6 separate regions of the Mus musculus genome follow, and all the other regions are reported to be linked to region 1. Evidence: microRNA targets listed by miRTarBase, many of them from high-throughput screens and not tested one by one. Region 1 holds a microRNA gene; each other region holds the end of a gene's coding sequence.

The links. Region 1 holds the annotated microRNA mmu-miR-3082-5p (GACAGAGUGUGUGUGUCUGUGU, at 1,664-1,685, opposite strand). A microRNA usually pairs through its seed, bases 2 to 8, with sites in the 3' UTR of a target mRNA and lowers its output. Matches are read on the target gene's strand: a 7mer-m8 pairs with bases 2 to 8, a 7mer-A1 pairs with bases 2 to 7 and ends in A, and an 8mer does both.
Region 2: miRTarBase lists Paxip1 as a target of mmu-miR-3082-5p. Seed matches in the 3' UTR shown: 7mer-A1 at 3,442-3,448 and 7mer-m8 at 3,090-3,096.
Region 3: miRTarBase lists Kif1b as a target of mmu-miR-3082-5p. Seed matches in the 3' UTR shown: 7mer-A1 at 1,022-1,028 and 7mer-m8 at 2,478-2,484.
Region 4: miRTarBase lists Tln2 as a target of mmu-miR-3082-5p. Seed matches in the 3' UTR shown: 7mer-A1 at 2,606-2,612 and 8mer at 2,636-2,643.
Region 5: miRTarBase lists Dennd6a as a target of mmu-miR-3082-5p. Seed matches in the 3' UTR shown: 8mer at 2,786-2,793.
Region 6: the mRNA of Pphln1 is a reported target of mmu-miR-3082-5p. Seed matches in the 3' UTR shown: 8mer at 3,743-3,750 and 7mer-m8 at 2,814-2,820.

Annotation. Positions count from the first base shown.
Region 1 is chr17:25,829,743-25,834,815 of GRCm38, forward strand. Mir3082 (microRNA 3082) reads right to left here and starts at 1,686; the gene lies at 1,623-1,686. It overlaps Jmjd8 (jumonji domain containing 8), which reads left to right. Exons shown (of 9, transcript NM_028101.5): 5 at 43-111; 6 at 200-319; 7 at 397-464; 8 at 558-692; 9 at 768-2,101. The coding sequence ends at 848. It overlaps Stub1 (STIP1 homology and U-Box containing protein 1), which reads right to left and starts at 3,177. Exons shown (of 7, transcript NM_019719.4): 1 at 2,950-3,177; 2 at 2,304-2,502; 3 at 2,054-2,219; 4 at 1,802-1,889; 5 at 1,567-1,623; 6 at 1,360-1,476; 7 at 892-1,268. The coding sequence starts at 3,111. The coding sequence ends at 1,143. It overlaps Rhbdl1 (rhomboid like 1), which reads right to left. Exons shown (of 8, transcript NM_144816.1): 8 at 4,723-5,073. The coding sequence ends at 5,043.
Region 2 is chr5:27,738,035-27,743,107 of GRCm38, forward strand. Paxip1 (PAX interacting (with transcription-activation domain) protein 1) reads right to left here. Exons shown (of 21, transcript NM_018878.3): 21 at 2,046-4,469. The coding sequence ends at 4,454. Among named protein-coding and RNA genes, the nearest start is that of Paxip1, 51 kb to the right of the region's middle.
Region 3 is chr4:149,176,055-149,181,127 of GRCm38, reverse strand. Kif1b (kinesin family member 1B) reads left to right here. Exons shown (of 49, transcript NM_001290995.1): 49 at 318-4,809. The coding sequence ends at 360. Among named protein-coding and RNA genes, the nearest start is that of Pgd, 12 kb to the right of the region's middle.
Region 4 is chr9:67,216,922-67,221,994 of GRCm38, reverse strand. It overlaps Tln2 (talin 2), which reads left to right. Exons shown (of 58, transcript NM_001081242.2): 58 at 477-4,910. The coding sequence ends at 605. Among named protein-coding and RNA genes, the nearest start is that of Mir190a, 17 kb to the left of the region's middle.
Region 5 is chr14:26,628,654-26,633,726 of GRCm38, forward strand. Dennd6a (DENN/MADD domain containing 6A) reads left to right here. Exons shown (of 20, transcript NM_001134465.2): 19 at 19-93; 20 at 775-5,073. The coding sequence ends at 906. Among named protein-coding and RNA genes, the nearest start is that of Arf4, 6.9 kb to the right of the region's middle.
Region 6 is chr15:93,488,294-93,493,358 of GRCm38, reverse strand. It overlaps Pphln1 (periphilin 1), which reads right to left. Exons shown (of 9, transcript NM_175363.4): 9 at 1,446-4,385. The coding sequence ends at 4,191. Among named protein-coding and RNA genes, the nearest start is that of Pphln1, 92 kb to the right of the region's middle.

The sequences.
Region 1 (5,073 bases):
AGGCAGAACTGACCAGTCCCGACTGGCTCCCCCTTCTTGTAGTGGACCTGCCCTTCCAGGAATATGTGGAACAGCTGCTGCAGCCCCAGGATCCTGCATCCCTAGGCAATGGTGAGCCAGACCCAGGCAGCGGTGGGAGTGGGGTACTTGGGAGCCCACTGTTGCCAGTACTCCTGCCTATCACCCTCTCTGCTGGCAGACACCCTGTACTTTTTTGGAGACAACAACTTCACTGAGTGGGCATCCCTCTTCCAGCACTACTCTCCGCCACCATTCCGTCTCCTGGGAACCACCCCTGCTTACAGCTTTGGAATTGCAGGTAGGGGCTACTTCAAAACAAACTTGGGGGAGCCCATATATATTTTGTTCATCAGCTATTCATAACTGACCCCACAGGAGCTGGATCTGGGGTACCCTTCCACTGGCATGGGCCTGGTTTCTCAGAGGTTATCTATGGTCGGAAGGTCAGTACAGTGTTATGTGTGTGTTATGTGTGTGTGTAAATCTGGTGTCTATAGTCCATTGCACACATAGTGACCTTACACTCCTGCCTCCAGCGCTGGTTCCTCTACCCTCCTGAGAAGACACCTGAGTTCCACCCTAACAAGACCACATTGGCCTGGCTGCTGGAAATATACCCATCTCTAGCCCTGTCAGCACGGCCTCTAGAATGTACCATCCAGGCTGGTGAAGTCAGTAGCTGGTAGGTGGGGGTTGGGCTAACTCAAAAAGCCATGAATCAAAATTTTTTTTTTCTTTTCTCCCAGGTACTGTATTTTCCTGATCGGTGGTGGCATGCCACACTCAATCTGGACACCAGTGTCTTCATTTCTACCTTCCTTGGCTAGCCAGACAGGCAACTGGCAAGCCCACTGCACCAGCACATGCCAATGTAGTGCTCACAGACTTTATTACAGGACAGTGGCAGCAGCAGCAACCTCAGCCCACCCTCACCCACTCTCCAGCCCAGAAGGGGGACAAGGGAGGCTCATGGTCCAGCAAGGGGTATGCTGAGAAGGGGAGCAGTTCAGAACCCATCAGCAGGGCCGATGGGGGCAGGCCCAGGGACACAAACTATACAGGGACTGGAGCTTCCGTCTCCAGATCCTCCTGGGCCAGGGTGCCAGGCAGGACATGGGGCCTCAATAGTCCTCTACCCAGCCGTTCTCAGAGATGAAAGCGTCAATGACTTCCTTCATGGCCAAGTTGGGGATGAGCTGTTCCTGGGTCAGAGGGCTCCGGGTCACAGGGTCAAAGTGGCCCACACGCTGCAACAGAGTCAAGAGTGTTCAATGGCCTGAGTATACCGATCCGGGTACCAAGGCTCTCCATGGCCCGGTCTCCATGGGCCCTCCTTACCTGCAGGTGCTCCTCAATGTCCTTGCGGTCATAGGTGATACCACTGGGTGTAATGCAGGGTTCCCGCATCAGCTCAAAGCTAATCTTGCCACACAAGTAGTCAGGGATATCTCGCTTCTATAGCACAAGGGGAAAATGTCTAGAACTGGAGGGGGCTGTGGGGGTCACCATACCAGCAGCAGCCGATGAGCTTCCGGGGGTCCTCACCTTTCTTTTCTCGTCCACCTGAGAGAAGAGCTCATCCATATCTGCCATGTATTTATCCTGCAGAGTTGAGTGCCATGTGTGGGCAACTCCTGTCTCCACACAGACACACACACTCTGTCCACCAGGGCACTCATGTCATGCATGGGCCAACAGATCCACCAAAGGCTGGGGCACTTTTCATGCCACACACAAACACACACACAATGACCCACATGTGGACTAGGGGCACCCTCACGTGCTTGGCCTCAATGCAGGCCTGCTGGGCCCGGATGTGGCCATCATCTTCATGACCCTCGTGGTTCCGCTGACACTCCTCCAGTTCCCTGAGGGTTAACCAGAAGCTAGTTGGTGATGGCCCTGACCAGGAAATCACAGAGCCCGCCCCATCTCAGGCCTCTTTCCTCCTGGGCTTCCCATGTACCGGTTGTTGTCCTTCAATAAAAACACTTGTGCTGGTGACTCAGTGTCTGCTGGGGGAGGGACCCACCTCTCTCGCTCAGCAGCAATGAGCCTGGTGAGATATGAATGCAGCTCACTCTCCTGGTGGATGCGCCGTTCCTCGATACTGTTCCAGCGCTTCTTCTTAGCAATGCGAAGGGCACTAGGAATATCATCCCCAAAGTTGAGTCGCTGCTCCTTGGCCAAACTATAGGCTAGGGGAGTGGACACTTTTGGTTACACTTGTCAACAATCCTGGTCCCCCAAGGTGCCCTCAACCTTGCATCTTGTCAGCCCACCTCGCTGCAGATTGGCAATGGCCTCATCATAACTCTCCATCTCCAGCTGGCACTGCCCCAGGAAGAAGTGCGCCTTCACAGACTGCCCGTCCAGCTCCAGGGCTCGCCGGCAGTCAGCAAGTGCCTGTTCAGGCTGCTGCATCTTCAGATAGCACAGGGCCCGGTTAGTGTAGTACACTGCCACAAGTGGGTTCCGAGTCTGGGGACCAAGACCAGGCGTCAAAGAGTGTGGGCTCAGTTGATCCCCTCTCATTTAGCAAGCTGAAAGCCAATGATCTGGTCAATGCTCCAGCTTTGGGGGCCCATGGCTGGAATAGAGGAACTGGAGATTTCCGAATTATCAAGAGCTCTGGATTCTGGCCATGCTTTCTTGCCTCCAACTGCTTTTGAGAGAAATCCCACAACCCCTCTACAAGCTCTGGGCTTGGAAATCTCAAGGGGCAAGAGCTCCTGGTGTCATCCTTAGTCTTACTTAATCAAGCATCCCGCCCGCCAGTTCCCAGTCAAATCAGCCCTAGACTCGGGAACAGCAATCCGGGCACCAGGGGAGCGAGCGAGCCATCGAGTCCAGGCTGCCAGAAACCCTGTCCGGGATCACAAAACTGGGAGGCACATCGGGCCCCGCCCCCGCCCCTCCCGCACTCACGATGGCGCGGCCGTAGCAGGCCGCCGCCTCCGGGTACTTGCGGCCCACGAAGAGCCGGTTTCCCTGCTCCTTGAGCTCTTGCGCACTCGGGCTCTTATCAGGGCTGCCGCCGCCACCAGTGCCCAGCCGCGCGCCGCCCTCCTTTTCCTCCTTGCCCTTCATGGCGCCGCGCGGCACGGCTTGGGCTCCGCGCCCGGCCACCTAGATCTCGCAGCCCGCGCAGCGATCAGCTCCGCCCGGTCGGCGATCCGCCACCGGAACTTCCGGTGTGGGGCGGAGCTGGCATGGGGACACGTGAGCAAAGGCGGAGCCTCGTGGATTGAGCCAGTTCCCTTAGCTCTGAGAAGCTTCCGCCGCGCTCTACAGGCCCCGCCCTACAGTAACCGAGACCTACCCTGCTCAGACCAAGGCTCCGCCCATCGGCGCTCAAGCCCCGCCCTCCGGCCCCAAGCTGGGCGAACGTGGCAGCGGTCATTGAGAAGTGGCCTTCCGAGGGCCGGTCACTAGGCCCGGGTCCTAGCGCACCACCAGGGCACACACGGGCTCACGCGACAGCCTGGGAACGTCTGGACCGCCGGTAGGAAGGCGGAATTGAGGGTAGAAGAGAGGCCCGCAGATCAGACCGCTCTCGAGGGGCTTCCTCGGGAATCGGGAGGAGCTGCCTGCGGCCATTAATGGCTGAGAAACAAGCACGTGACACGCTGACACCGAAGGACCTTCTGCGGTTGCTATAGAAGTAGCTGCGGGTGCACGGCTGGACTCTTGCCCTTCTCGCGGTCATGGGGAGGAGCTTCTTCAAGGGCGGAGCCGGCTGGTTTCCTTGGAGAGCGCCTGCACCAAGACCCTTTGACCCCATGGTCTGTCGTTGAGGCATTTCTAGCCGCTGCTGCATCAGCTGTTGGCCGCTAACACCCCCAACCCCGGACTTGGAGAAGCAGAACTCGGCTTTCTGCTGATCTGGGCGCCGCAGTCAAACTTCGCTGCGTGGTTTCTGCCACTGCCTCGAGTGAGTAGGTAGCATCTTTGCCCAAGTTGGGTGGGGGCTCTAGGAGCTCAAAAAAAGCTATCCCCAGAACCTCCTTGTCACTCTTTGCAGTGGTCCTGGAGGCAGAGGTTTCTGGGGTTGCAGCTTTCATATACGAAGAGGCGGTGGCTACAGTTCCTAGCTTGCTAACCCTCCAGTACACACTCAAGCACTACTTGCTGTTTCTAGCCCAGGTGCAAGAGTTCACTGCCTTTCTGAGCGGGGCTGAGCGGGGCCTGAGAGGTCATCCAGGGCCCCATCATGGTTCTGGTGGTTAGTAACTTGACCCCAGAACCCTTGTGGACCTCACTAGTGAGTGTCTTAGAGTTGTAGACTCTTCGTCTTGTGCAAACTTGGGGGGCAGATGTATGCCCAGACCTGCTGCCTGACCTTCACCCTGACTGGGCCTCCCACAAGGACCTGCCAAGAATTACAGGACCCAGGCCAAGTGAACCTAGCTCTGTTGTGGGCTTGCGTTTGGAAGGGAGGCTGAAAGAACAGGAGATTGGAAGCTCTTGTAGCACAATAAACGATTGCTGAACTTGGACTGACCTGGAAGTCCACAGTTTCTTCCCAGGGGCCCCACCTCCTGTGGATTCCGGCCATGGCCAGGAGTAAAGCTACCACCTCAAGTCAGGTGCAGAGCTTGAAGGGAGAGAGGGAGCACAGACCGTCCTGGAGGGGAGGTGTCTCATACAGCTTGGGTGAGGGGGCAGACAAGCCTGCAGAGCCCCAGGACAGCTACCTGGTGCTGTGTAAAATATTTATTCATTCTCCAAAAAGGCTCAGACTGCAAGTCCTGGGGTCAGTGGGGAGGGAAGGGGTCTCCTCTAGGGCCACGCTCAAGGTCCTCCACCCAGCCCTGGCCCAGTAACACCCCTCCCCCTGGAAAGCCTGGGGGGGGGGGGTGCAGCAAGGGCTGCAGTAAGACTTGGCTTCAGCTGGGGGTGGGGGATCACAGGGCCCCCCTGCCCCTGTGGGGAAAAGCAGCCGAGAGGTCCATTCATATAGGGCAGACATGCAGGCCCACCTGGTGCCTGGCTCTAGCCACATGGCCCTAGGGAGCAGGTCAAGGTGGAGGGGGGATATCGGCACCCAGC
Region 2 (5,073 bases), not on the chromosome of region 1:
AGCCGTCCCCCTGTTCTATTACATGGCTATCTTTCCATATGCTATCTTCTCTTCTTGAGGCCCCAGTTAGAGCACATGTGTAGCACTCAGGAAACAAAAAAAAAAAAAAAAAAAAAGGATGTTCAGGAGTTCAAAGCCAGCCTTGTCTGCATAGCTAGAAAGTGGAAAGATGCTATAGGAAAAGCAAAAACAAAGGATAGAACCAGACTAAAATAAACTAGGCCCCATACAACCCAGTTACCAAAACTCCCTTGCTGACTACAGTCCCCATCTAAGGAGCTGGGTGAGGACTCAGCACAGAGTGTGTTAGCCATGTGGAGGTTCAGGATTGGCCCAGCCACTGGGCTAGTTTAAAACATAAAGGGTGTGTGTGTGTCTTTTCATTCATGAATCTAGTGTTCTTGGGCAATGCAGAGGCATGCACACATCTGCCAGAAACATAGAGCAGACTTTAACAATTTTACCCACATCCTTCTGTTACTCCTGGGAACTGTTAACAGTGAAGGCAGTGGCTTGAAATAAAAACCCCATTCTCTTACATTTCTGTAATCAGAAGGCTGGGTCTTACTAGACAGAAACTAAGAGGTCATCCCTCAGCATGGTAATGCATGCCTTTAACTCTCTAGCACTTGGGAAGCTGGAGTAAGAGGATCACAAGCTTGAGGCCAACCTGGGCTACACAGTTGAGTTCCTGTCTTAAAAGAAACAAAAACAACAAAAGAAACCGCAGAGGTCCACAGTCTGCAGAGATGCCAGGGGACAATTGTCTTCTGTTTACTCTGGCCACCATTCCTCAAACTTGTAGATCCTCATACTCCAGCTGCCTGCCTCTGCTGTGTGCCACCTCTGTGGGGTGAAGGTGTTGTGTGGCTCTCAGTACAGCATCCAGATATTAACACAGGCTAAACCCTCTCTTCTCATCTCTTGGGCCCCTTTCTCAGGGCATATGGGGTTCTACTGGATCACCTGATTAGCCCAGAATAAACTCACCACTTCAAGGACTTAGCCTTCACTCTGCCCATGTGTCCATATGCCACTGATAGCATGTGGCAGTCATCAATTCTATGAATAAACCAGACATTCCTTCAAACTAGTCTTCCTCCCATAGAGCATCAAGCCTCTCTCGTAGGCTTTTCCAAAGCAGACAAGAAACCAGATTACAACAGGCAAGCCCAAAAGGCAACCATAAGCCTGCCAGGGTCCATGACAGCCTACCAGAAAGGGCACAGAAAACAAGCAGCAGGAAAGTGGGGGGAAAGGTGCACACGACTCAGTACCTAGAAAAGCCTGACACATAGGAACTGAGCATTCTGATTTAGGATTAGCCAGAGGCAGAAGAGTGGCTGGCAAGGGTGGACAGGGTGTGTCGCAAGTGAGATTTGACTCAAGGACACAACTCGTGTTTTCTTTCTAGCCTGACTACACAAGCACAACCTTATTTCGAGGAAACTGCTCATCAACTAACCAGGGGGAAGACTGGTGTGGACGATCAAAATCCTGCTAAAACAGATGGAGGGGAGGCAGCTGTTGGCAGTGGGCGAGTGTACACTGGGAACAGGTCTGCAGTACAGTGAGCAAGGACAAGAAGCAAGCAAACAGGAGAGCTGGGGATGTGATTGCTGGGGTGTTTGCTGGCCATGCATCAAGTCCTGCGGTCAATCCCTAGGACCACAGAGCGCTGGCAAGTAAGAGACATTGACGCAGCTCTAGCATCAGATGGAGGCAGGGAGGACCAGACTCGGGATTATCCTCTGGGGCAGAGCAAGCCTGAGGCCAGCCTGTAAGATAAAGAAGTAAAAGAAGGGACGGCCTGAGTTTCCTCTCTGGGACCCACAGAGCAGAAGAGCCAGCTCCTCCATCATCTCCAGGTTGCCCCAGCGTGTACATGTGCTCTGGCACACAGTCACTTTCTTTGACCTGTTTTTGAGAAAAACAAGAGTTGAAGCTGCTTGTGTCTATGGCACCAGGGACACAGCAGCCATTGTGAAGCATGAGAAGGGGTCTGAACCTGGGGTGGGGGACAGAAATTGTGAGAACAGGCTCACTTTAGACTCTCAGCATCAGGACTTTAATACTGATTTTTTTTTTTTATTATTACACAAATGCTTTGTGGAGTGAAACAGCACTCTCAGAAGGTGCCCAGGACAGATACCTTCTGATGAACTGTGTTCCAATTTCCAGTAAAAATGTTTAAAGGAAGCAAGCTGTGCAGCTTCTACTAGAAACTTTCCTATGCAACTTAAGCACTTTGTTGAAAACCCACTGATGGTGTGTGGTGATGGTTCCTGACACTCCAGACTCCAAGACTAAAGACTACCAGATCTTTAAAGACTATCAAAGAGTGCCAAGGCACTCTTTCCTCCCAAACCAAACCAAAACCGCACAGGTCACTCCCCTTTAACTTCAGGAAACAATGAAACCATTCTGTAATGGTTTGAACACACCCCCTGAGTCCTGCCACTAACCTTCCACCTACTACCTCTGGCCAGTGTTGCAAATCACAGGACTACAAGTGATGTATTCATGATGACTGTTCACCATCAAACGTAACCAGCTGAGCACTAACATGTACCTAGGGGTCAGAGACTGAAACTTTGATGTTATAAAACATTAATTAAAAACAGATACAATTACCAGAAAAGAGTTAACTGTATTTTAAACAATGTGGGCAAAATATAATTATTTACTTTTTGAGACAGGATCTCACCCATGTAGCCCTGGATAGCCCAGGGTCTGCCATGTAGAACACTGTATCTCAGCATTCGACTGTTGGCACTCCAGATGTGCACCATTTTTGAAACCACCACCTTTCTGATTTACTTCATAACCAGCATTTGTTTGTCACCTTGCCCTCCCAGCCAACCTCGGGTGGAACAGCTGTGTAAGCTGTGGTTCTGGACAGCTCCTCAAGTTGCATTTCTTGGCAGCTTACAGAAGATGCTAATTGAAAGGTTAATCAAGGGCTGGAAGAGCGCTGACTGCTCTTCCAGAGGTCCTGAGTTCAATTCCCAGCAACCACATGGTGGCTCATTACCATCTGTAATGGAATTGGAATTGGATGCCCTCTTCTGGAGTGTCTGAAGACAGCAACAGAGTACTCATACACATAAATAAAAAAAAAAATCAAGCTGGGCGTGGTGGCCCACGCCTTTAATCCCAGCACTTGAGAGGCAGAGGCAGGTGGATTTCTGAGTTCGAGGCCAGCCTGGTCTACAAAGTGAGTTCCAGGACAGCCAGAGCTACACAGAGAAACCCTGTCTCGAAAAACCAGAAAAAAAAAAAAATCAGTCATATCTCTCTTAAAGAAACATCCTGTCTCCTGCACAGGTAACAGATGTGTGACATTCCACAGAGAAGGCTATTGAATCTACATCCACTTTGTTCTAGGATCAAGGACACAGGATGGCATGTGGCATGCTGGCAAATCCGACTGTCCCCACGTACAGAGCTCTTCTTCTGCTCACCCCAATTTCCACATTTGGAAGTATTTCATAGTGACAACTTCAACCAGATAAAGGCCAGCTCTGTAGGAAGTCTCTCAGGTTGCTTAGACAGCCTCTCCAAAGCAGCCTGTGAAGACACACCTGCCACAAGGAATGTCCAACAGAAGGATGTTTCTGCAGATAGTAACAGTCCTATGCAAAGTCACCAGAGATCAGGGCTAGCCAGGAAACATGTAGGCAAAAGACACCGGGCCTTCCCGTAGAACAGAGCACTGTCCCCACCATGCTTTGGAGTACAACATCAGTACAGTAGGGTAGGCTCTGCCCAGGCTGGGAACAGGCTCACAGTTTGCATTTAGTGGCTGTCCAGGCTTCCAGTCCACCTGTCTGGAGCCCCCTTGCCATATCAGTAAGAGGTGACTATTTATGAAATACTATCAAAACTTATTTCTCCAGGAGAAAAGTTACTTCAAAAATACTCTGCTGTGAAATTTATCAAAATGCTATCCAGCTTGTTGAAAATCATTTATGTTATGCAAAGAATATGAAATTTTAAATAATCACCCAATTCTAAGTTCAAAAGTACATTTATTTAACTGTGAGCAAGTTATCAATATAAAAGAAAAGTGTAAGAAATAAAAATAATCAAAGTACAAAACATTTCATATCTTTAACAGCCATAATTTAGACAGCAAAGTCTTATTTACATCATTTTTATTTGTAGATGAAATTTCACACAGCTTTCTGAAAACACATTAAAAACCTGGCAAATTAATCAGAAGACTTAATGTGGGCTCTTAGGCATATAATACAAAACATAATTTATGTTTCCTAGAATAAGATCACACATCTTAACACGATGCAGTCAGTATTACATCTGTCTTCCTGGTCGAGGTCTCTCCCTAAGGCAGAGCTGGAAAACAAGCCCTCTGCGGGGAGGGAGTCCTGGTTCATGCTGCCAGCAGCTACCCTTGTGCTCCAGGCTCCAGGCTAGCAGCAGCAAGAGGCCATCAGTTAAATTTATATGTGGCCTCATTGAGGAAAATGGTTTTCACACACAAGGTAGCAGGGCCACATTAGGCCAGAGTCCCCCCATGTAGTTCTAGAGACCACCTCCTTCTGTATTCAAGCTATCTTGTCCTGTTGCAAACTCCAACACCCATGGCATAGGCTCTCTATCTGCCACATGGGTGGCTGAGTGGAGGCACCCTGCTTAGGTCATAGCTAAAGCCTAATCCAAGCACATTACATTCCTGGTTTCCTGTCCCCAAAGCCACCACAAAAACATGTCCTTAAGAGAGCTGTCACCCTAAGTGTCTTATGTGGGCAACATTGAGAGCAGCAGTGATCTTCAAAATTCTTAAAACTGCAAACCATTAAATACCTCATGTTGTGGTGAGCCTCAACCACCAAATTATTTTCATTGCTACTTTATAACTGTAATTTTTACTAGTGTTATGAATTGTAATGTAAATATCTGATATGCAATTCCTGTGAAAGGTTCATTTGACCCTAAAGGAGTTGACACCCACAGGTTGAGAACCACTGGGCAATAGGCATGGGCAGGTCTTCAGTTGACCAATGTAACCTGAGAAGCAGCTCTACCATGTTCTCAAGTGCAAGCAGTGTT
Region 3 (5,073 bases), not on the chromosome of region 1:
AGTAAAGGAGAAACAGTGCTTTAATGGACTCCCATAGTTCAGGCTGTGTGAGAGGAGCGCATCTCACAGAGTCCCCAGCGTAGGAAAGACCTCATAGCTGTCCCTGGGCTACTGTTAGGAGTCATAATGTCCATATGTGCTCTGCAGGCTATCTGCTCTGCGACCCCTGTGAAAAGGGTATTCAACCCCCAAAGGGGTCTCGAGTTGAGAACTGCTGGTCCAGCCATTTGTTTAGGAGCGTAGAAGCCTGGCCTGCAGAATCGGCTGGGAGAGACCAGCATCCACTCTTCTAACGCTGCCTCCTGTTTTTCTCATAGGTCAAAACTCTCTCGCAGATGCCCGAGCCAGCCAAAGTACTGAGCGTTCTCCTGAGCCTTGCTCACCTTCGACAGATAAAGAAAGTGTTACCTCTCATTCTCTTTGTGATTCTTGACAGTTATTCTTGTATGTAATCCTGTGGCTTAACGACTTTTCCCTCCTCACCCTGCACTTCTCTAGCTCTCTGTTCCCTCTCCATGGCTCTGACTCTTCTTATTCTTGTGCTAAGACTTGTAGCATGTGGCCTAACAAGGGGAACAAAACCACTACACGTCCATACACACTCACACTCACACTCACCCACACCCGAGGGGACCCAGCACATCTCCAAATGATTCTCCTGTGTGCTTCAGCTTCCTTTGGATGTTAGGTCCCCTTCACGGTCACTGTCCGACTGTTGTCTCCGTAGCTCTGGTTTTCAGGGTAACTTCTCTGTCTCTCTTTTTCTTTCCCCTTTGTTTATGATAATCTTCTTTTTTCTGGGTGGTTTAGAGACTAAGGGAGGAGACATTTGGTATTGTCAGCCAGGAGAAGAAAACTTGTTAACTTGTTTCTCTCTCTCTCTCTCTCTTCCTCTCTCTCTCTCTTCTCTCTCTCTCTCTCTCTCTGTCTCTTTTTCTCTCAGTGTCTGTCTCTGTCTATTTGTGTGTGTGTCTGGTGTCTGTCTGTCTCTCTCTGTGTCTGTCTCTGACTCTCTCTCTTTCTCTGTATGTGTGTGTGTGTGTGTCTGTCTGTCTCTGTCTCTCTTTCTCTTTCTCTTTGGTGGCTAATCCATGTGTTTCCATTCAGGGAAAGCACTGTGGGAAGCTCAGAAATGGGATTTAAATTCTCTGTCTAAATCAGGGCTCGGAGCATGGATGTATAGAGTGGAAGATGCAGAGGGGCCTTGTGATTGGCCTGCAACAGAGGCTGCTGCTAGCCCTTTAAGACTCGGGCTGCTGCAGTAGATTGGGCAGTGGGTCACAAGGGTGACTGTAGCTCCTTACAGCAGGGTCCAGCAGGCTTGTCTCCTCCCTGGGAAGGAGCGTTTGTCTAGGAGTTTCCCAACTCTAGTCTCAGTGTCACTGTTTGGAATTAGGTGATGTCATGAACAGATTTCCCACAAGAGGGACTGGGGAGTGTTTGACTTTCTGGTGATATGGACCATTGTTGCTTTGAGAGTGCTGAGTGCAGCTTGTGATTGTTGTCGCTCCCTTTGATCAAAGACTTGTAGCTTCAGCATAAATCTTGAGGTCTCCATCTAAATCCAGTGGCCATTTCCAGTAGTTCTCGTCTCCATATGAACAAACATGGCATTGTTTTCTGGATGCCAGAACTGACCAGTCCTTACCACCACTCCAAACAAATCAGAAGGCATTTAGAGTCGAAAAAGATTGTCTCCCAGCAGTTTGCTACTGGATTGTGAAATGCCTCCTCTGTGACATGCCCCCTTCCCCCACTGTCCTCATCTGGTTTGGAAATACTCCCTTAGGAAGAATTTCCCTGCTACCAGTTTCTGTGGCTTCTAACAAACCAGGCCTCCGGGTTTAAGAGGTTATAGAAAATAACGCTCTTCCTCCACCGGCCAGTAAGTGTCGGGGACTGAGTGGGGCACAGAATGCCCGCTGGGGCTACTTGAGTTGCTGTGCCAGTGACTTGGGGAGCATTCACACTGCTGTTTCCTGGCCTTGCCAGCCTGTTTCAGCATCACTCACGCACACAGGAAGGCATCTGCTCACCTCCAGTCTGCGAAGGCTCCTGGCTACCTGAGGGTAGAGAAGGAATGGATTTCCTTCTGGTGGAGAGCCCATCTCCACTGCAGAGCAGCCACTAGGGAGGCGAGCATGCAGCCCCTTGCTTCTCTCTGAAGAACAGGACTCCCAGCTTCCTTTGTTACAGTTGCCTTGCAAAGAAAGGAAAAGTGGACCATGGAGAAAAGGAAAGGAAAGGAAAGAAAGCAAAAGAAAAGAAAGGAAAAGGCAGAAATCAGACTGTTCTTATCTAAAAGATGCTCAGCTCTGGTGGATTTTTAAAACTTTCTTTCTCTCCTTAAAGTATAGGTTACTAACTGTAATGTTACTTGTTTTCTAAACATATCTATGAGATTTTTAATGTAGTTAGAAGTCTCTGTTGTCTAATGGACACAGCATGTCCTTCTGGTGTATACTCAAATTCAGCAGACTCTGTCTATGCCTGTAGACAGTTTCCTGGACCGGAACTAAATCTAATTTCAGGGAAACGAAGATCAAAGGTCGCTTTTAAACTGAATCACTGATGTTGCTGCTGTTAGGAAGGTAGGCAGAAGGATCCATGTCTGTGCCGAGAGGTGTGACGCCTGGGGGAGGGTGGCAGTGTGCGGCACACTAAACCCTGAGATAACTTGTTTTCTTTTAACTCAAACAAAACTGGTTTAGAAAGTCTTTGCTTTGCAAATATCAAATGTTAGCATGAGCCAAACTGGACCCCGCCTTCATCAGAGGCCCCTTAAGGAGACCTCATTAGAAAGCCAGGGAAAGTAAGGTTGGAGCTTGGGCACCTGTGCCTCTCCCTGCTGTCACTGGGACCCCTCCTACTGTAAAGCCCAGGATCAGGTCAGAATCGGAGCATTTGGGGGCTTTATATTCTGTTTCCAGACAAGGTCACCTGCTCCGAAGCTCTGAAAGAGAAAGGGTTTTATGGCAGGACCTGTTCATGAGATTTTTGTGATTGCCATAGTAGCAGGAAAGTTAAGAGAACTAATCTTTAAAATAAGTATTTTTAAGATTTTTTTTTAAATTTTCAAAGCACTCCTTTAAACAAACAAACAAACAAACAAACAAAAAACCTACAAGGAAAACATACAAATTACAGAAAAGTGAGTGCTGGTTAAAATGAATTAGTCTCCCCCTTCCTTTATGTCTTTATCCTCCTTCCTCCCAAGCAGATATAGCCTCATAACTGTCCCCCGCCAGTGCTCAGGCCTCGCCTGCTTCTGGGAGACGACCCTGGGAGTCAGTCAGCTCTCAGTCCCAGACTGTCAGGGACCAGGCAGTCCCTGCACAAGGCGAGGTGGGAGCACAGGCCAGACTGCTTCTGAGCAGGCCCTGATCTCCAGTCCATAAATGAGAAACTTGATGAGGTGAGAGCTGAAGGTTCTTCAGCTAAGAAACCATTATTTTTTTTTCTCTTCAGCTATGTGGAATTTGTATATCTATCAATTTTTCAGGTTTTTTTTTTTTTTATCTTGTTTAGATGAAGGAATGAATGGTTGTGAAAGGTGTTTGGGGTCTAAAACATGATTTTTCCTGGCACATATTTCAAAGCATAGACTTTGTTACCTGCTGCTTCTTGTCTAATTTACAGGGATATTTAATTTTGTAAGGTATTTGTATATTTATACAACTGTAATGAATTGCACATTGGACTGAAAGGGGAAGGCTCTGCCCTGTGTGGCTCCTGCTGGGACTCTAGGTTGCTGTGCTTTGACTTTCCTGAACAATACCAGGGGGGTGTGGTTTGTTTAGCGTGGGTCCATCACTTTTCATTTGGGTTCCTTTTGGAAAATGTAATCTTTAACTTGCTCTGTGAGAAGAAAAGAATGATTGTGTTGCTGCTCTTGGAAGGTCTGCTGAATGCTTTTGAGTGACCTCTGGCACTGTGTACTGCCTGTGATCCACCAAGAGTGAGTAAGACCACGACCGTGGAGCAAGTCAGAGATCGTCAGCCGAGAGATTATTGCTGTTACTGTTCAAAAGGCCATTTATGAAGTAGATATTTGAGCTCTTTAAAAAAAAAAATTTAAGAGAGCCCCTAATTACTTAAAAAAGAAATTTAAGAAAGAAATTAAGAGTTGATACAGAACCGGTGTTAAAAACTCACAGCCAGAGGTTAGGGGTGTTGGTTAGTGGTAGGGCACTTGGCAACTATATGTGATGCCATTGGTTCAGTCCCGGTTCTGAGATCAGACAGAAAGCCTCACGGTAGATAGCTGCTCAGACAAAGTCCAGGCAGAGGTTGGTCTTGTGCCAAACCCTGGATGTTCTATGTTGTCATGTCCTTAACTGATTCTTTTCATGCTGTGTATTCTGACATCAATTCACCGAAGGGACCCACCAGCCTCCTCATGTTTAAGCATTGTCGTAGACTTTGTGGCTCTGACATACTTGTCTGTTGAGAGTGGCGTCTCCTGTCACCATCCCCATGCTATAACAGAATCCATGAAGCATAAGTGGCCTTTTTGAACCAAGACTTTGCAAACTGATCTCTCCCCAGGGAAGGAGTTGAGCACAAGCAACAATGTACATTATTAATTTTGGATTTCATTTTCATGTTTTATTTTGTAAATATCTAATGTTTGGAGCTTGAGTATACAAAATGTAAATACAGTTCTTGTATTTGTACTAATCCTGATTCTTTTGCTGTATAGCCCTAGATGTGTAATGCAGACATTATCTAACTGTGTATGGTAACCTTGCATCACAGAACTGCTAGTGAACGAGGTAAAAATAATAAAGGTACAACCAGTGCATCACACCATGCGTGCTTTAGTCTTTTGTTTTGGTTTCTGGAGACAGGGTTTCTCTGTGTAGCCCTGGCCATCCTGGGCCTTGAACTTGGATCTCACACACACACCACCACCCCACCCCCACCCCCGCTGCCTCCAGGGTACTGAATTAAAGGAATTTACCACCACCTCCAGGCTTTTGTACTTTATTCTTTGCCCTTTGGAAAGCCATTGCATACTAATTAAGATTCTTACAGAGCCTTTAATCCCAGCACTTGGGAGGCAGAGGCAGG
Region 4 (5,073 bases), not on the chromosome of region 1:
CAAAAGCATTGGGACAGTCTAAGTCAAGTGCAGACACCAAGCCTGGTATCGATACCAGAGGTGTTTGCTACTAGGTTCCTACCCTGAAGTCAGCTCCCCCCCCCCCCAATCAGCTGGCTCATTGGTGTCAAAACCAAGCCGTGAGGTAGGCTAGTTTCCAGAGCTAAGAATGCTGTTCCCGGGCCAGCATTACGGCTCAGCAAGAAAGATGCTTTCATGGTAAAGGCACGCGGCCTGGGGCCTGGAGACCTGGGTCAATCCCCAGGACCCACACGTTGAAAACAGAGAACTGACTTCTACATATTGTCCTCTGACCTCCACATGTGTGCTAAGGCACATACACATACCCTCAACATACATAAATACATGTTTTGTTTTTTAAAAAAGAACGCTCATCTGCGTCCATCACCAGAGGGGCTGTGGAAGACAGGCCTTCACAAAAGCTTTAGCTCCGTTCCGCTCTTGTCTCCTTTCAGATCATTGCAGCCCAGGAGGAAATGCTGAAGAAAGAACGAGAGCTGGAGGAAGCCAGGAAGAAGCTGGCCCAGATCCGCCAGCAGCAGTACAAATTCCTCCCCACAGAGCTGAGGGAAGATGAGGGCTAAGACACCCCCCATGCTGGTGAGCCCCAGGAGGTGGTTCCTACTCCCCCAACAAGAACTGGACATACTGGTGTCCCCCAGAGCCAGGAACTTCCTGGAAACTGCTGGCCCTCCACCGGAGTCTGTCTCTCTCAGTCCTCAGTCCCGTCACTATCAGCTGCATGATCATGGTCTCACACGGTACAGTGTCCCACCCACAGCTCTTCCAGCTCCCCTCACGCCTCGCTATATCTCAGGACAGAGGGCGCATTTCATGGACTGTTACCAAAAAAGAAAAGTCAGTATTACGTTGTTCTCAGACACCTGTACTCCGTGTCCTCTAAGACTGCTCCAGGGCCTCTTTGTGAAATCACACTCGGGAAAGAACAATGCTAATAACGGCTCACAGGAATCATCAGTATCATGGACATAGAGATTCTCTCTCTGGAGAGAAGACAGCTGGAGTTGGACACTGTTAATAAAGCCAGAAACACTCCCAAGTGAACTCTGGAGTCACAGAGGTCTGTGTAAGTGTGGGGCACTGACTCACCCACGGGGGAGAAGATCCCCTACCCGTTTGCACGCTTTTCTCGCCTCAGTGTGTAAGCTCCTTGTACAACTACACCCATCTTGTATTCTGTGGCCCAGAAAAATGGAAGTTATTTTTTTTTCCCCCTTCCATAATCCAAAGGGCAGAGTTGTGGAAAGTGGTCAGGGTTAGGTGGGTAGGGGCCGGAATAAAATACTGGGCTCCTCACTCAGCAAAGCTGTTTCAGTTTATGCAGACACACACATGGAGACTATGTCCCTGATGGATCTCAGTGCAGCGCCCCCTGGAGGAAGAGTCAGGTAGCATTTAGGAAGGAGGTTCCCATGTTCGAGCCCTATTATCAGTTTCTGTGCACTTGAGAGGGTCCAAGTTCAAGAAGGAAAGTTATTTGTTTAGAACTTTGACCTTTGATCTCAAGGGGGCATTTCCCACCATTTATCTTAATAATCCTAAAATCTAAATGTCCCCTCTGGTCATTGTGAACCTGTGTGACAGCATTGCTTGTTGTCACAGAAGTGTTTTCACAGTACATCATCTGGGTGCTGCCCTTTCAACCTCCCGATGCCTTCCCCTCGTGCCTTTCCTCTCAGGGCCCTCTTCTGGAGAGAACATCAGAGATCCCTGACTTTACATTTGAGTTGAGCCCCTGCCTAAGATGAGGGATGAGGGAGGGCCTGATACCAAGTACCAGCATGTTAATGAACTCGTGAAGAGTTAGCAGGGGCTTGCTTAGACTGTAGCTCAGTTGGTAGAGTGTTTGCCTGGTTAGCATGCACAAAGCCCTGGGTCCCATCACATAAACTCGATGTGGTGCCACAAGCCTGTAATCCCAGCACCAGGGAGATAGAGGCAGGTGGATCAGAAGTTCAAGGTTATCTTTGGCTACATAGTAAGTCAGAGACCAGCCTTGGCTACATAGTAAATTATAGAGAAAAGCCTTGGCTACATGAGACCCTGCCTCCAAAAGAGGAGAGAGAAGGAAAAAAGGCATATGGTCTTCAAGGCTAATGGCTGCTGAGGGCAGACTTTCTCCCCCTTAATGATATGATACCAGTACCACATTGTATGTTGGGCTCACCACTTCCATCCAGATTTCTACCAAAGAAGAAACACTGGTACTCTGGTCCTCCGAAAGGAAAGAGAGAATCAACCCTCGACCTTGCCAGATGAGGCTCCTCGAGCAGACTCTCCTGTGCCACAGCTCTAAAACATAATGAAATCCTGACACCTTCCCAGATGTGTAGAGACTTACACATGCTGCACAAAGGAATCCCTTTCACACAGGTAGAAGGATCTAAGTACGGTGTGAATGAAAAGCAAATGCAGGGCACACATGGAAGGACTGAGGCTGAGCAGGGCTGCTGGAGAGCCTCCATGCTGGGAGCCCTTGATGCTCATGGGAAAGCAAACCGCCTCGCTCACCCTTGTTGAGTGTAACTCTTTTTGTTTGTTTTGTTTTTCCCAGACAGGGTTTCTCTGTATAGCCCTGGCTGTCCTGGAACTCACTCTGTAGACCAGGCTGGCCTCGAACTCAGAAATCTGCCTGCCTCTGCCTCCCAAGCGCTGGGATTAAAGGTGTGCGCCACTTCACGCCTTTGCTGGGTACTATGCAAAACTATTAAGCCAAACCCCAAAGTTCATGATCAAGACGGTGATCTCACACAGTAGGACAAGAGGCTCTCCTGCAGCTGGCTCACCCTCTTCCTGTAGGATATGCTTCCAGGCAGCTAGCCCCTCACCCCTCCTCCTACCTGTCCCCTGCCACATTGGACATTCCAGGGGCAGGACAGATACCAAGTGTCTGTCCCTACCCCAGGGTGGTTTAAAACTTTCACAGAAGTGGACACAGGAGAAGACCTCTAACAAATGAAGGCAAGGGGCCATGAGGGGAGTTTCAGGACAGTGGGACAGTGTCCTCCTGTCTGGGGTGATGTGCACTAGGAACTTGGGAAGAGGTCGTTCTCAGGTCTCTCCTCCATGGTCGTGGGCCTACTTCGCACCTGTCCCTTGCTAGCCCATGCTGTGTCCATGTATGTGAATGTCCTCGTGGCTGGCTGATCTCTCCTCATTTCATAAACCAGCGGAAATGCTGGGCTACAGGCATTACTTAATGCTGCTGCTTGTGTCCCCAGAGGCACTGAGGGGTCTTCTGGCTCCTAAGGGAGAAAGAATGCAGATGTAGTGAATTGCAGTTTGGAGTAGTTTCAAGGCCCATGGCCCAAGGCCTGGAACATGGAATTCATCTGTGAGGGGGACTGGGAATGCAGCAGAGTGCACTCCTACCTCTGGTCCCGTGAGGGAGGCCAACATTGGGTGTTGAATCCTTACACTGATCTTCCTGTCCTGTGTTTCCCTGTTTGATGGTTAAAAGTAGGATGTGCCTGATGGCTGGGAAATTGCATTTGGTTTACTTCTGCCTTTCAGAGGTCTTTTGGTTTTCAGGATGCAAAAGCCATGTTTGGTCAGACAGCCCTGGGTAGCCCTTCCACTGGCCAGTTTGGGAGGTGGTCTTGAAGGTCATCATAAGCTGATACTTAGGACCTAGGCAGTCCTCCAGTTGGCGTTGGTGATTTCCAGAGGCAGCTGCCCTGGCTTCAGTTTGTGCACGGGCTTTCAGGGCTAAGCCACCACAGATCTGCTGGCGCACACTCTTCGTCCAGAAAACCCTCTAAGCCTCTTAGCACACACATCTGCTTGTTGTCTGAGTTCTCTTCCGGCTGGTGAGAGTAGGGACAGCTGAAACCAAGTGTTAAAAACCGTGTAACGAGGTGTGACGGCGAACATTTAGAATCCCAGCACTGGGGAGGTGGAGGCAGGAGAATTGCCAAGTCTAAGGTCAGCCTGGGCTGGGTAACAAGATCCTGTCTCAGAAAACCAACAGCTAATGGAAGTAACTTAGTGTTAAAATGTTTGCCTCGTAAGTGCTAGGCCCTGGGTTGGTTCCCAGCAACACACAGACTTTAACCAAAATGTCCCACCACCTAAAAGCATGTATTTATCCCCACCTCCTAAGCGGCCCCAGAACCAGAACCTGATGAAGGAATTAGGGTGGAGGTGGTAAGAGGTGCCACTGCACTTCCTCTTGTCTCTCTGGCAGGTGGTCCCCCAAATCTCCCCGAGCTTTGCAGTCCAGGGCTAAGGTAGAGCCTCTGGGAGCTAAAGCTTAAGATCTCAGCACTGATTGTATGCTCTGCTCAGACACCTAGAAGAAACGAACTCGGTGACCGCGCACACAGACAGACACATCTGAGTTACTGAGCAAGTTGCAAGGAACTGGAAGAAAATAGTTGCTTACAGGCTGAGAGGCAACAGTGCTCAGAGTCCTAAAAGCCAAAGAAAGGTCTTAGGGGCTATGCTGGTGGCCCAGATCTCACCTCACCCCAGAGTCCCTCCCACTGAGTCGGCAGCCTCCGCTAGGAAAGACATCCTCCACAAATCGCCTGACGTCACTGCTCCATCAGGGTGAGCTTGCACTTGATGTATTAAGTTGTGGTCATTTGGAATGAGCACGAGGAGGGAACTTCCAGTAGTCTCACAATACTATGAAGAAGGGCTGACACTTTTCTGTGAAACAGGCTAGGTTTTATCTGGTCTCCCTGGAACCCAGCTCACTGCCCACCAGGAGGCAATAGCATGCGAGCCCCTCTGCAGCCACATCTGTCAGGAGACAAGAAAGGGAAGCTCTGCCCTTGTCATAATGTTTAATCACATAAATTAATTTATCTAATCACATAAATTATTTTTTTTATTCATCAGAAATAAACTTTTAAAGGAATGAACTTGTGTGAAGGTTTCATGGCAATGGCGGGGGGTGGGAGTGGGGGTGAGGTGCAAAAAAGACAGAAGAGGGCATCTTGCTTATGGAGGAGAAATTCTGCCCTGAGCCAAACATCTATCTCCACAATAACCAAGGATGTGTGTGTGTGTGTGTGTGTGTGTGTG
Region 5 (5,073 bases), not on the chromosome of region 1:
ATTTTCTTACTGTTGTAGGACCTCCTTCTCTGGATCCAGAAACACACAGAAGTAGAAACAGTGGACCTTGTGTTGAAGCTGAAAAATAAGTTGGTATGTAACTAAAGAGATGAGGATAGAAAATGGACCTTTCTGGGAAAATATTTTCTCATCTGAGCTGACTCTTACTCTGTTGTGTACTACAGAAGTCGTTTTTTAAATGAGAACATTTGAGATTGGCCAGTTGATGGTAGATCTCACTAGAAATTTTGCTCATTCAAATAGATCAAATGATTCTAAATTATTTGAAAGACATTTAAACAATTTTAAAAATTATTTTATGAGTATAAATGTATGGCCTGCTCTTAGTAAGTGCACCATATGCATGCAGTGTCTGCAGAAGCCAGAAAATGGCACCCCCTCCATTGGCAGGGTGAAGCCATGTATACACTAGGACCTGAACCCAGGTTTTCCACAAGTGTAGCCAGTGCCCTTAACTGCTGAACTCTCTAGCCCCTCAAAGAGATTTAAAACAGAATCTCCTGAACTCTCTGAAACCATTGTCTTACCTAGATTTTATGGCACACACTATCCTTTGGCCTCATCTATGAGTGTATAGAATGGCCTTTATTAAGGTCTCTTTACACCCCTCCCCCACTTGATGTTCTCTACAATTTTAGTTTCTGTAAATTCTAGGCTGAGACCTAAACTTCCAAGTGATCATTCTAAAAAAAGGTGTTTATGTAGCAAAGACAATATATTCACACAGATTCACTAAAACCGTTCCTTATGTAGTTGCAGGCTGGCCGAGAGAGCTTACCTGTGAAGCCTGACACTGTGGAGAAGTTACGGACACATATAGATGCAATTATCCTGGCCTTACCAGACGACCTGCAAGGCATACTGCTCAAGACCGGCATGACATAACACTTGTCAGGTTTTCCAGCCAGAAAGGACTGTGAAGCAGGAAGCATACTGACATTCATCTAGACGCACACTGAGCAAGCTCAGGGGCACAGCACGGAAATAAGCAGCAATTGCTAGATACAGCTGGAAAGGCTGAGCGGACACACAGACATTTGTAGTGCGTTCTGTGGTGGTTCCACAATGCTGAAATACCGAAAGACATTTCCATATTTTTAATCACGTTCTAAAGTGCTCTTATGAGAGACCTATGGGGCCATCAGTGTAAGTGACTCCAAACTGCAGTGCCGGCATTGCAGATATTTTTTTAAATTGGTGCTGCTTTGCCCAATCATGTTGAACTCAGGGGAATAGAAGAATAATGTTCACACTGGCTGTCTTCTTAAGAAGGAAAAACTGAACTTTCCAACTATAGTTAGATATAACTGAGGCTTATGTAGTGCCTTCCATTGTCCTATATGTTTCACAGGGTCCAGCTGCTAATTGTAAGGCTTTTTCTTTTTTAATTATGATACATAATTTCAAAGGCATTATGTCAAGTAATCACTTGCCCAAAAGTATTTCTTGTTGCCCCTCATGTTTATTGCCTGTTGTTTTAAATTATCATGTAGGTTTTCATGTCACAACTCTCTACCATTTTCACAACTTAGGTGTGTCTCCGAGGAAGGAGGCACATGCAGTTCTGGCTATGGAAGAGCTGATTTCTCCTCTCTCTTTTACTCACTGGCCTGCATACACTAGGTAGCTTGAATGTCTTTTGAAGACATTCTCACAATGAACATCATAGTTGTTTTTTAAAAGAATATTTTTATGTCAAAGATAAGCCATTCATGTAATAATTATTTGAGAGTTTTACATTTACCTTTTAACGTTATTTGTTGGGTGACACTATTTCCCCTAGTGGATGATTTTTAGAAGACTTTTCCTGTTGTTGTTTGACATGGGACCTTTTGTGTAAATCAGCATTACACTTTTGTTTGTTTGTTTTCATTTTGTTTGTACTACCTTGCCAAAAGTAGAATGAGATAGTTTGGTTTCAGATGGGAGTGTTGCAGAAGCCACTGTTCAGATAGGCACACACAAAGCAGCACATGTGTAAATAGCTGTGACTTAAGTACCTGCCCTTCTGAGCAGCCACACGGTGGCTTCAGAAGCCATCTCTTATTCTTTTGCTGTTATTTTCAAGGGCATTCCTGATCCAAGAAGGTTTCTCTGTGTGTGTGACTGTGGTCTCATATCTAGGGTGCCCCTTCCTTACTCATGGATACAGTCTCTTGAAGCATACCACTGTCCTAGGAAGAATATGGCATTTGAATGAAATCATTTGTCTGGATTGATTGATTGAAAATTTATTTTGTGAAACAATACTGACCTTTCAGAAAAGGGGCAACTACTTTTATATGCTAAAGTACTTCATAACTTTCTGGGAAACTTTATTTAGGTAGAAATGGTCATCTTATTATTTTTCAAAAAAATGTATTTTAATAATTTCACAATTTATATACAGTTTGTGACATGAATATGAAAGTCATTAGTATTATATCAAGGATTTTTGAAATATACTTCTACAGGATATATCATTTGAAGTTTATTTTGCACACCTAAAGAAAAACATGAAATATCAATTAGCATGATAATGCTGTCTTTATGTTTACCACATATAACAGAAACTCAACACATGGTGAAAACCAAATCATATTCACCTACTTTATCTCTTAATTTCAAATTATGCATTGGAAACCCAAGGAAGACTGAATGGTTAACTTAAATTTTTATGTCAGTTTTAGAATTTCAGAATTGTCTCTTTCATTGTTTTTGTTTTTTGTTTTTTTTTTTTTTCGAGACAGGGTTTCTCTGTGTAGCCCTGGCTGTCCTGCAACTCACTCTGTAGACCAGGCTGGCCTCCAACTCAGAAATCCACCTGCCTCTGCCTCCCGAGTGCTGGGATTAAAGGCGTGTGCTACCACCGCTAGGCTCTTTCATTGTTTTTAAGGAGTTTAGTATTCAAACCCTGCGGTTTGTTTAATGTGTTATCTCCACCAGCATTAGAAGGAATCAGTGCTTAGGGTGTTCTGTAATGCCTAGTGCCTTCTCTTTACAGTGGAAAAGAGGGTTTGTGGAGGCATTTATGGTCATTACCCAAAGCTTGAATTAAAGGCCTTGGATTTTAAAAAACTTAGGTAGCTTGTGTTATGTGTCTTCTTTTTTGGTTGGTTTTGTTTTGGAGACAAGCTTTCGTGTATCCTGGACTGGCTTCACACTCCATGTGTAGCCATGGATGATCTTGAACGTCTGCTTTTCCTGCTTCTACCGCCTCAGCGTGGAGATTGCTGGCCTGTTCCACCATGCCTAGTTCAGTGCTGAGGCCTGAGCCCAAGGATCCATGCATCTAGGCTAGCACTCTGCCAACTGAGCTACGTGCCCAGCCCTAACTTGGATTTCTTATATTTGCAATACTTGGAGAAACATACATAATGAAACTTGTACATTATTAAAATATTTTATTTCTAGATAGTTTTTTTCCAAATGAAATGAAAATCCAAACCTTTTTGTGTGTATTTTATTATAAACAGGTGAAATGATGAGATCCTAGCCAGACGCCGGTGGTGTACACCTTTAATCCCAGTGCTCAGAAGGCAGAGACAGTGAAGTGAAATGAAGTGTACTGAGGTTTAAAGCGGTTTAGATGTGGTACTCATTATGGGTATTTGTGTTTGAGTTTACTTGTTTTTGAGGCAGGGTGTCTTTATGTAGCTCTCAACATTCTGAAACTCACTAATGTCTGGACTGGTTTTGAGCTCACAGAGATTCCATGTCTCTCCCTTCCTAGTGCTGTGATTAAAGGCAAGTGTCACCATGCCCAGCATAATGGATGGATGGGCACTTGTATGGGTGCACAAAAAATCAACTTTGAGTGCTGTTCCTCAGGAACCATACTTTGGTGTTTTGGTTTGTTTTTTTGAGACAGAGTTTCTCACTGACCTGGCTAGCTAAAGACTCTAAAAATTCCACACTGATGCCTACAGGAGAAAAGGTAGGTGGGTAAGACTCTTCACTGAGGCAGAGATACTTTTCTACTACTGAGGATAAGTAATGTTCAGAAGATGTAGCTTTTCAGAAGATGAGTAATGAAGTAACGTAAGAAAATGAGATTAGTGATACAGTTTACAAAGCCAAAGGGAAAGCAAGGGCAAAAATTCCACTGTTTGTACAGCAATTAGTAGACCATGTCGCCTGTAGTCTCTGAACAGTGAGTGATATATGTTACATTGAGATTAAGTTTTATTTATTTGCAATACTTGAATTTGATCAGAGAGCCTCATGCACAGTAGGCAAGTTACCACTAGGCAAAGTAAGAGGATTCAATGGAATACTGTATGTTCAGTGCAATGTCTGTCTTTGTAATCCTTCATAACCACTTATCACTGCTAGATATTAGTACTATAGAATATATCCTCTCAAATGTTTGAATGTTAAGAAATATGCAGTTCCCTTTTGGTTTTTGCTAAGTAGCCAAGTGTAGTCTTGAACTCACAATCCTCCTATCCCAGACTCCAGAGTAGTACAACTTCAGACATGTACCACTGTCCCCAGTTATTTTTTAAATGAGCTTGAAGTGTAGAAATACCTACAGCATTAAACCCAAAAGGACTATATATACAACATTTGTAAGCAAAGGGATGTCATTAAGAATGATTGGTTAGCCGGGCGTGGTGTCGCATGCCTTTAATCCTAGCACTCGGGAAGCAGAGGCAGGCGGATTTCTGAGTTGGAGGCCAGCCTGGTCTACAAAGTGAGTTCCAGGACAGCCAGGGCTATACAGAGAAACCCTGTCTCGAAAAAACCAAAAAAAAAAAAAAAAGAAGGATTGGTTAGAGATAGGTGTGTAATCCAGCAACTGAGAAGCTGAAGCAAGAGGAACTTGAGTTCAAGCTCTGGGCTATAAAGTTAGATGCTATTAGAAAGAGCCAGGTGCTGGAGAGAGAATTCAGTGGGTGAGAGGACTTGCTGTACAATCACTGGGGCCCACGTTGGTTCCTAGCATCCTTGTAAGAATTTAAAGTTACATGCACCTGTAACCCTAGAACTGTCGGAACGGGCAAGAGAACGACTGGGGCGTTCTGGGGTACCAACGTAGCTTCAGTTTTAGTGAGAGACCCTTTCTCAGGG
Region 6 (5,065 bases), not on the chromosome of region 1:
AAGCCAGCAACAGTGTACTTATAATAATAAATCAATCTTTGAGCTGCAGCAAGCAGGGACCGAGCGAGCAGGGTTGACCAGAGCAAGCAGGGCTGACTGGAGCAAATAGAGGTCCTAAATTCAATTTCCAACAACCACATGAAGGCTCACAATCTGTACAGCTACAGTGTACTCATATACATAAAATAAATATATAAATCTTTAAAAAAAAAAAAAAAGAGGATCAGGAGAAATAGGACCACAGGGAGTAATGGGAGATGGATGAGATTAACCTATGTACACAGGAAAACATAAGGAAACTGACTCTGTATTATTAATGCAAGCTAATCCACATGAAGGAGGTCTGCTGCACAGACACCTGTGAGATGACAAGCGATCTCTGGAGATAATGTATACCCAAATGTAGACAAGCAAAGCAGGAAAAAGGGCAAGAAGGGTAGGTTTTCTTGAAAGACCTTTTCTGTTCTTGGTTGGGGGACATCAAACACTTTATTCGGAGATTTGGGTTTCAAGGTCTCCCCAACACTGAGAGACTGTCCCCTTCCGTCCCTTCCCTGTGAGTGTGAGCACACAGGCAGAGCTCCGAATTCTGGGTCTTCAGCTTGAGCCCTCCGGTCCTGTTTCCTTCACACTTTCCATTGCACGGAACATCCCGATTATTACCATCAACTTTACTGGACTGAGAAGCACCGAGATGATTATTAGAAAGGCACACTTCTGGATGTCTGAAGCTCTTTCTCAAAAGGTGACATCAAGGGGGAAGACACTCCCTGGGTGTGGTATCCAGAGGAGAAGGAAGAGGCCCACAGGTGTCTACTTCACCCCCCCCCCTCCCCCGGGCTCTATGCTATATATGGAGCAATTCTGCTCTGCTACAAGTTCCCCACCATGAAGGCACGCTTTACCACAGATCCAAAAATGGTGGAGCCCAGTAGCTGAGGGCCCACATGCCTAAAATCAAGATTAAAAAGAGAAATCCTATCACAGCAGTGAAAACTGACTTTGGCCACAAAGGGACATACCAACCTTTCCTTCTGAGCTCCTCACACCTCTCAGTCTGAATGAATCCTATTTCTCAAGTTTCACTTGAAGGTGAAGTCAGCTTTAGGCTGACAAGCACCAATACCTATAGCATGCCAAGCTGTGAACCAGACTGGTACAGAGAGCCCGGTTACTGCTGTGCAGGAGTGATGACAGCTCAGGAAGAAGACATTCAGCCTCGTAAGTTCAGCTCTGTAATTACTTAGTGTCACTGGGCCAGGCACTATGAGGACTGGCTTCTGTAACATCAAAATTCCAGAAACCGTCCAAGTTAACAGCGCCTCGATCCTCCGACTTCTACCTGGCTGTCGAGTGGTGAGCTGACTGCTAGAGTCATCGTGCAGGCACAGATGAAAACGCTTACACTTCAGTCACAGGAACCAGGAAAAACGAGAGGAGACGAATTTATTACTTAGTATCGGATGCTTTATTTTGCATTTACAGTATCTGCTTTCCCCATATTGATCATCAAGGCCTTATGGTGAGGCAATGAGAACTTATCATATGAATCAGGTCTATTGAAAAACAATGGATAACTTACAAACATGTCTCCGTAGAATCAAAAACATTTTATAAAACATACTCTAGTACACATGAATTTTAGATGTCAAAAGGCATTTAAAAAAAAACAAAGATGAAGGAAACATTTAACACTGTGGAGCCTGGCAGAACAGCGCGGACGGCAAGCTGGACACAGCTTCGAAGGCCCAGTGTGAGTGGAAGGAAGAGGATGACTGGCTGGGCCTTCACTTAAATAATTTATCAGTAAGATTCTCTTTTTAAATGAATGTTTCTACCAAGTGAACATTTTTTTTTTTTGCCTTGGAAGCTCCTCAAATTTTATACGTATGCTTGTTAATAACTTGATTTAAAGAGCTGAGAATTAGTGGAAGGGAAGAAGGAAAATCGCTTGTGGTATTACTGAAGTGACCGGCATTGCGCAGCACACGCTCAGAAGGGGAGTGTGCGCAGAAAAGGGATGGAAAGACTCAATGCCAAAACGTACAAGTGTTCTCACTTGGGGAATTTAAGAAAACAAACAAAACAAAAAACATGTCGTCAATTAGTTTTAAATTTTCAAAATGGCATAATACAAATCTTCACACATCTATTTTAGGGCTCATTAAAATTAACCATTCTTCTATTTCTACTTAAGTATAATCTGTATGTGGTTTAGGGATATCCGCAGACAGGATCATAGAGGCCACTCAATGGTCACGGCAAGCATTGGGGCTCAGGAAAGCTGAGGCAGGAATCCCGAAAGCTAAAGGCCAGAGCAGTTAAGTTTGAAGCCAGCCTAGGACACACAGCAAAACCCTGTCTCGAATCAAAAAGTAATAAGGACAGAAAAAAAATGAAAATGAAAACAAACAAAAGGATGCTGAGCAGGGTGGCCCGTGGGCTTAACGCCAGCATGTAAGAGGTAGGGGTGGGGAGATGTCTGTGAGTTTAAGGCTATCCTAGTCTACACAGAGATTTTCAGGCTAGCTAGGACTATACTGTAAGACCCTGACCCCCCTCGCCCCCCCCCAAAAAAAGGTAGATAATTTGATTGGGCAGTGATTTTTTTTAAGGTGCCTAATGTCACAAATTTAGTATTTTGCCTCAGTGAACCAGGGACCAGGAAGTGAGCAAGAGATCCTAAGTGTCTCTTCACTGATTCAGTGGCTCACTCAGGACCTGCTGGCAGCTGTGCTGGCCTCAGTGTGTTCTGAGGACACTTGTGAGCAGTGAGCCCCTCTACGCCCACAGAACTGAGATCACGGAGATGGACAGAGTAATCTATAGCTTAATCCCAAGCATGAGTGCCATGTCAGGTCCCGTTTTTGATATAATGTGGGCCTAAAACATAACTTAAGTGCTCTGTATATTCTAATTTTTTTATTATACCCATGAGATGGGTTTCTGAGACCATCTCAACTTAATATTCATCTTGCATCTCAGATTACCTCTCCTGTTAGTCCATAATATTGTCTAGAGAGAGCAGGTAGAAGCCTTAAGAGCACTTCATAGAAGAGATGAACCAAGTTTACTGACTTGGGAGAAGATTTTGTTCTAACAGATCCTTACAGATTTTCAAGTGCATTTTTTTGTATATTGAATAAGAATTATTCTCAAAGCAAATATTGAATGATAGCAAAGTTCTAACTCATTAAGACAGCATATTTTGACATCACCAACTCAAAATGCTAACGGTACCACTAATTGTATGCAATCTGGAATGATCTTAACTACAAATTAAACTCCTGAGACCAAATGATCACTACTGTTAGACTGTTTCGACCCCTGACTCCCAACAATAACACAGAGACTTTTTATTATTTATGAATGCCAAGGCCTTATATCTTAGGCTTCTTCCCAACTAGCTCCTATGGCTTAACTAATCCATTTATTTTGGTCCATGTTTGCCACATGGCCCGTTATCTTTCAGTCCCTGAAAGTCAGACTTCCTTTTGTGATGCCCTGCCCTGCCCTGCCTTTCCTTTCCTGACCTACAGGCCCTCAGTGTTTACCAATCAGAAGGTGGTGGAGAGGAGAGTTTACAAACTACAATGAAGGTGCTTAGCAATTCAAATAACAATACCAAAGAGTATTCAGCTGGAAATCAACATCTGAATACAGCAGTGGTGGCGCACGCCTTTAATCCCAGCACTTGGGAGGCAGAGGCAGGCGGATTTCTGAGTTAGAGGCCAGCCTGGTCTACAGAGTGGGTTCCAGGACAGCCAGGGATACACAGAGAAACCCTGTCTCGAAAAAAAAGAACAAAAAGACAAAAAACACAAAACAAAATAAAAAAGACAACCTTTACACGGTATGCAAAAAGATGACCATAGACGTCATGGAAGACTATGAAACATGGGTTAAATACAGGGAGCTGCTCTCCAGAGCTGCTTTTTTCTTTTGAACATTAAAGTAACTGAATATTATTTTTGGAGGGAGGAAATGTATGAAGATAGAGTAGAATATTCTACACATAGGGGAAACATTCTAATTAAGATACTTTAAGCTATTGTAGATGTTTATTTAGTACTAGAAATGTGCTTAGCTATCATAAAGTATTTCTCTTCATCACAAAATAGTAAGGATTTACACAATCCAAGGAGAAAAAAACAATCTAAGAAAACCTTTTGACCTGGGTACTTCTTCTTCTAAAAGGGGTCTCCAAAGTCCTGAGCAGAGTTGTCATACTCAGTAATGAAACGCTTGAGCTCTTCCACGCAGCGCTCACCTATCTCGTGTAAGTTCTGCCTCAGTGCAAACTGGACAGACTTTTCTAATGAGGGATCTTTTTCAATCAGCATTTTCACCACCATCCCGAAAGTCTCGCAGTCTTGTCGGTAAACCTAGGATGGCAAAACACATTTGGATTAGATGAGTGAATTAAGCCCATGGCTGGCTGAGCCGGTAGAACTCAGCTGCTGAAACCTGTAAGGGAGCTAAACCTGTAAGATGGCTGAACCTCCCCTGTATCAGCACAGCCACATGCCTTGGGTATCAGCTCACAACTGAATAAGCAGGCAGGCAGACAGACAGACAGACGCACCCATCACTGAGAAAAGCACAGGGCTTTACACTTGGGTTAGGTAAAGAAGGTAAGGACAAAAGAAAGGCAAAAAAATCCTCACTCATTTGTTAAGAGAAGAAAGGCTTTGTCATCAGCGTGCCAGCCACACATTTAATCCCAGGAGGGGCAGAAGGATCTCTGAGTTGGAGGCCAGTTTGGTCTACATAGCAAATTCTCTCTCAGCCAGAACTACTACAATCGTAAGACACTGTCTCTGAGGAGGGGGAGAGAGCTTCTGAACTTCAGAGACTCTGAGTCACAACCAGTCAACTCATCCAACAAACATCTGTAAGGACGCCGCGCATCTGTCTGAGGGAAGCACTTTGCCTACAAATATTTAAACAAAGCCGCCAAACAAAAAAATCACGCACGCACAGATGTGTACGCTACATCCATGTATATATAAACACACATGTACATGCGTTGTGTGTTCTTTAATAAATATACTTTTATTTCAAA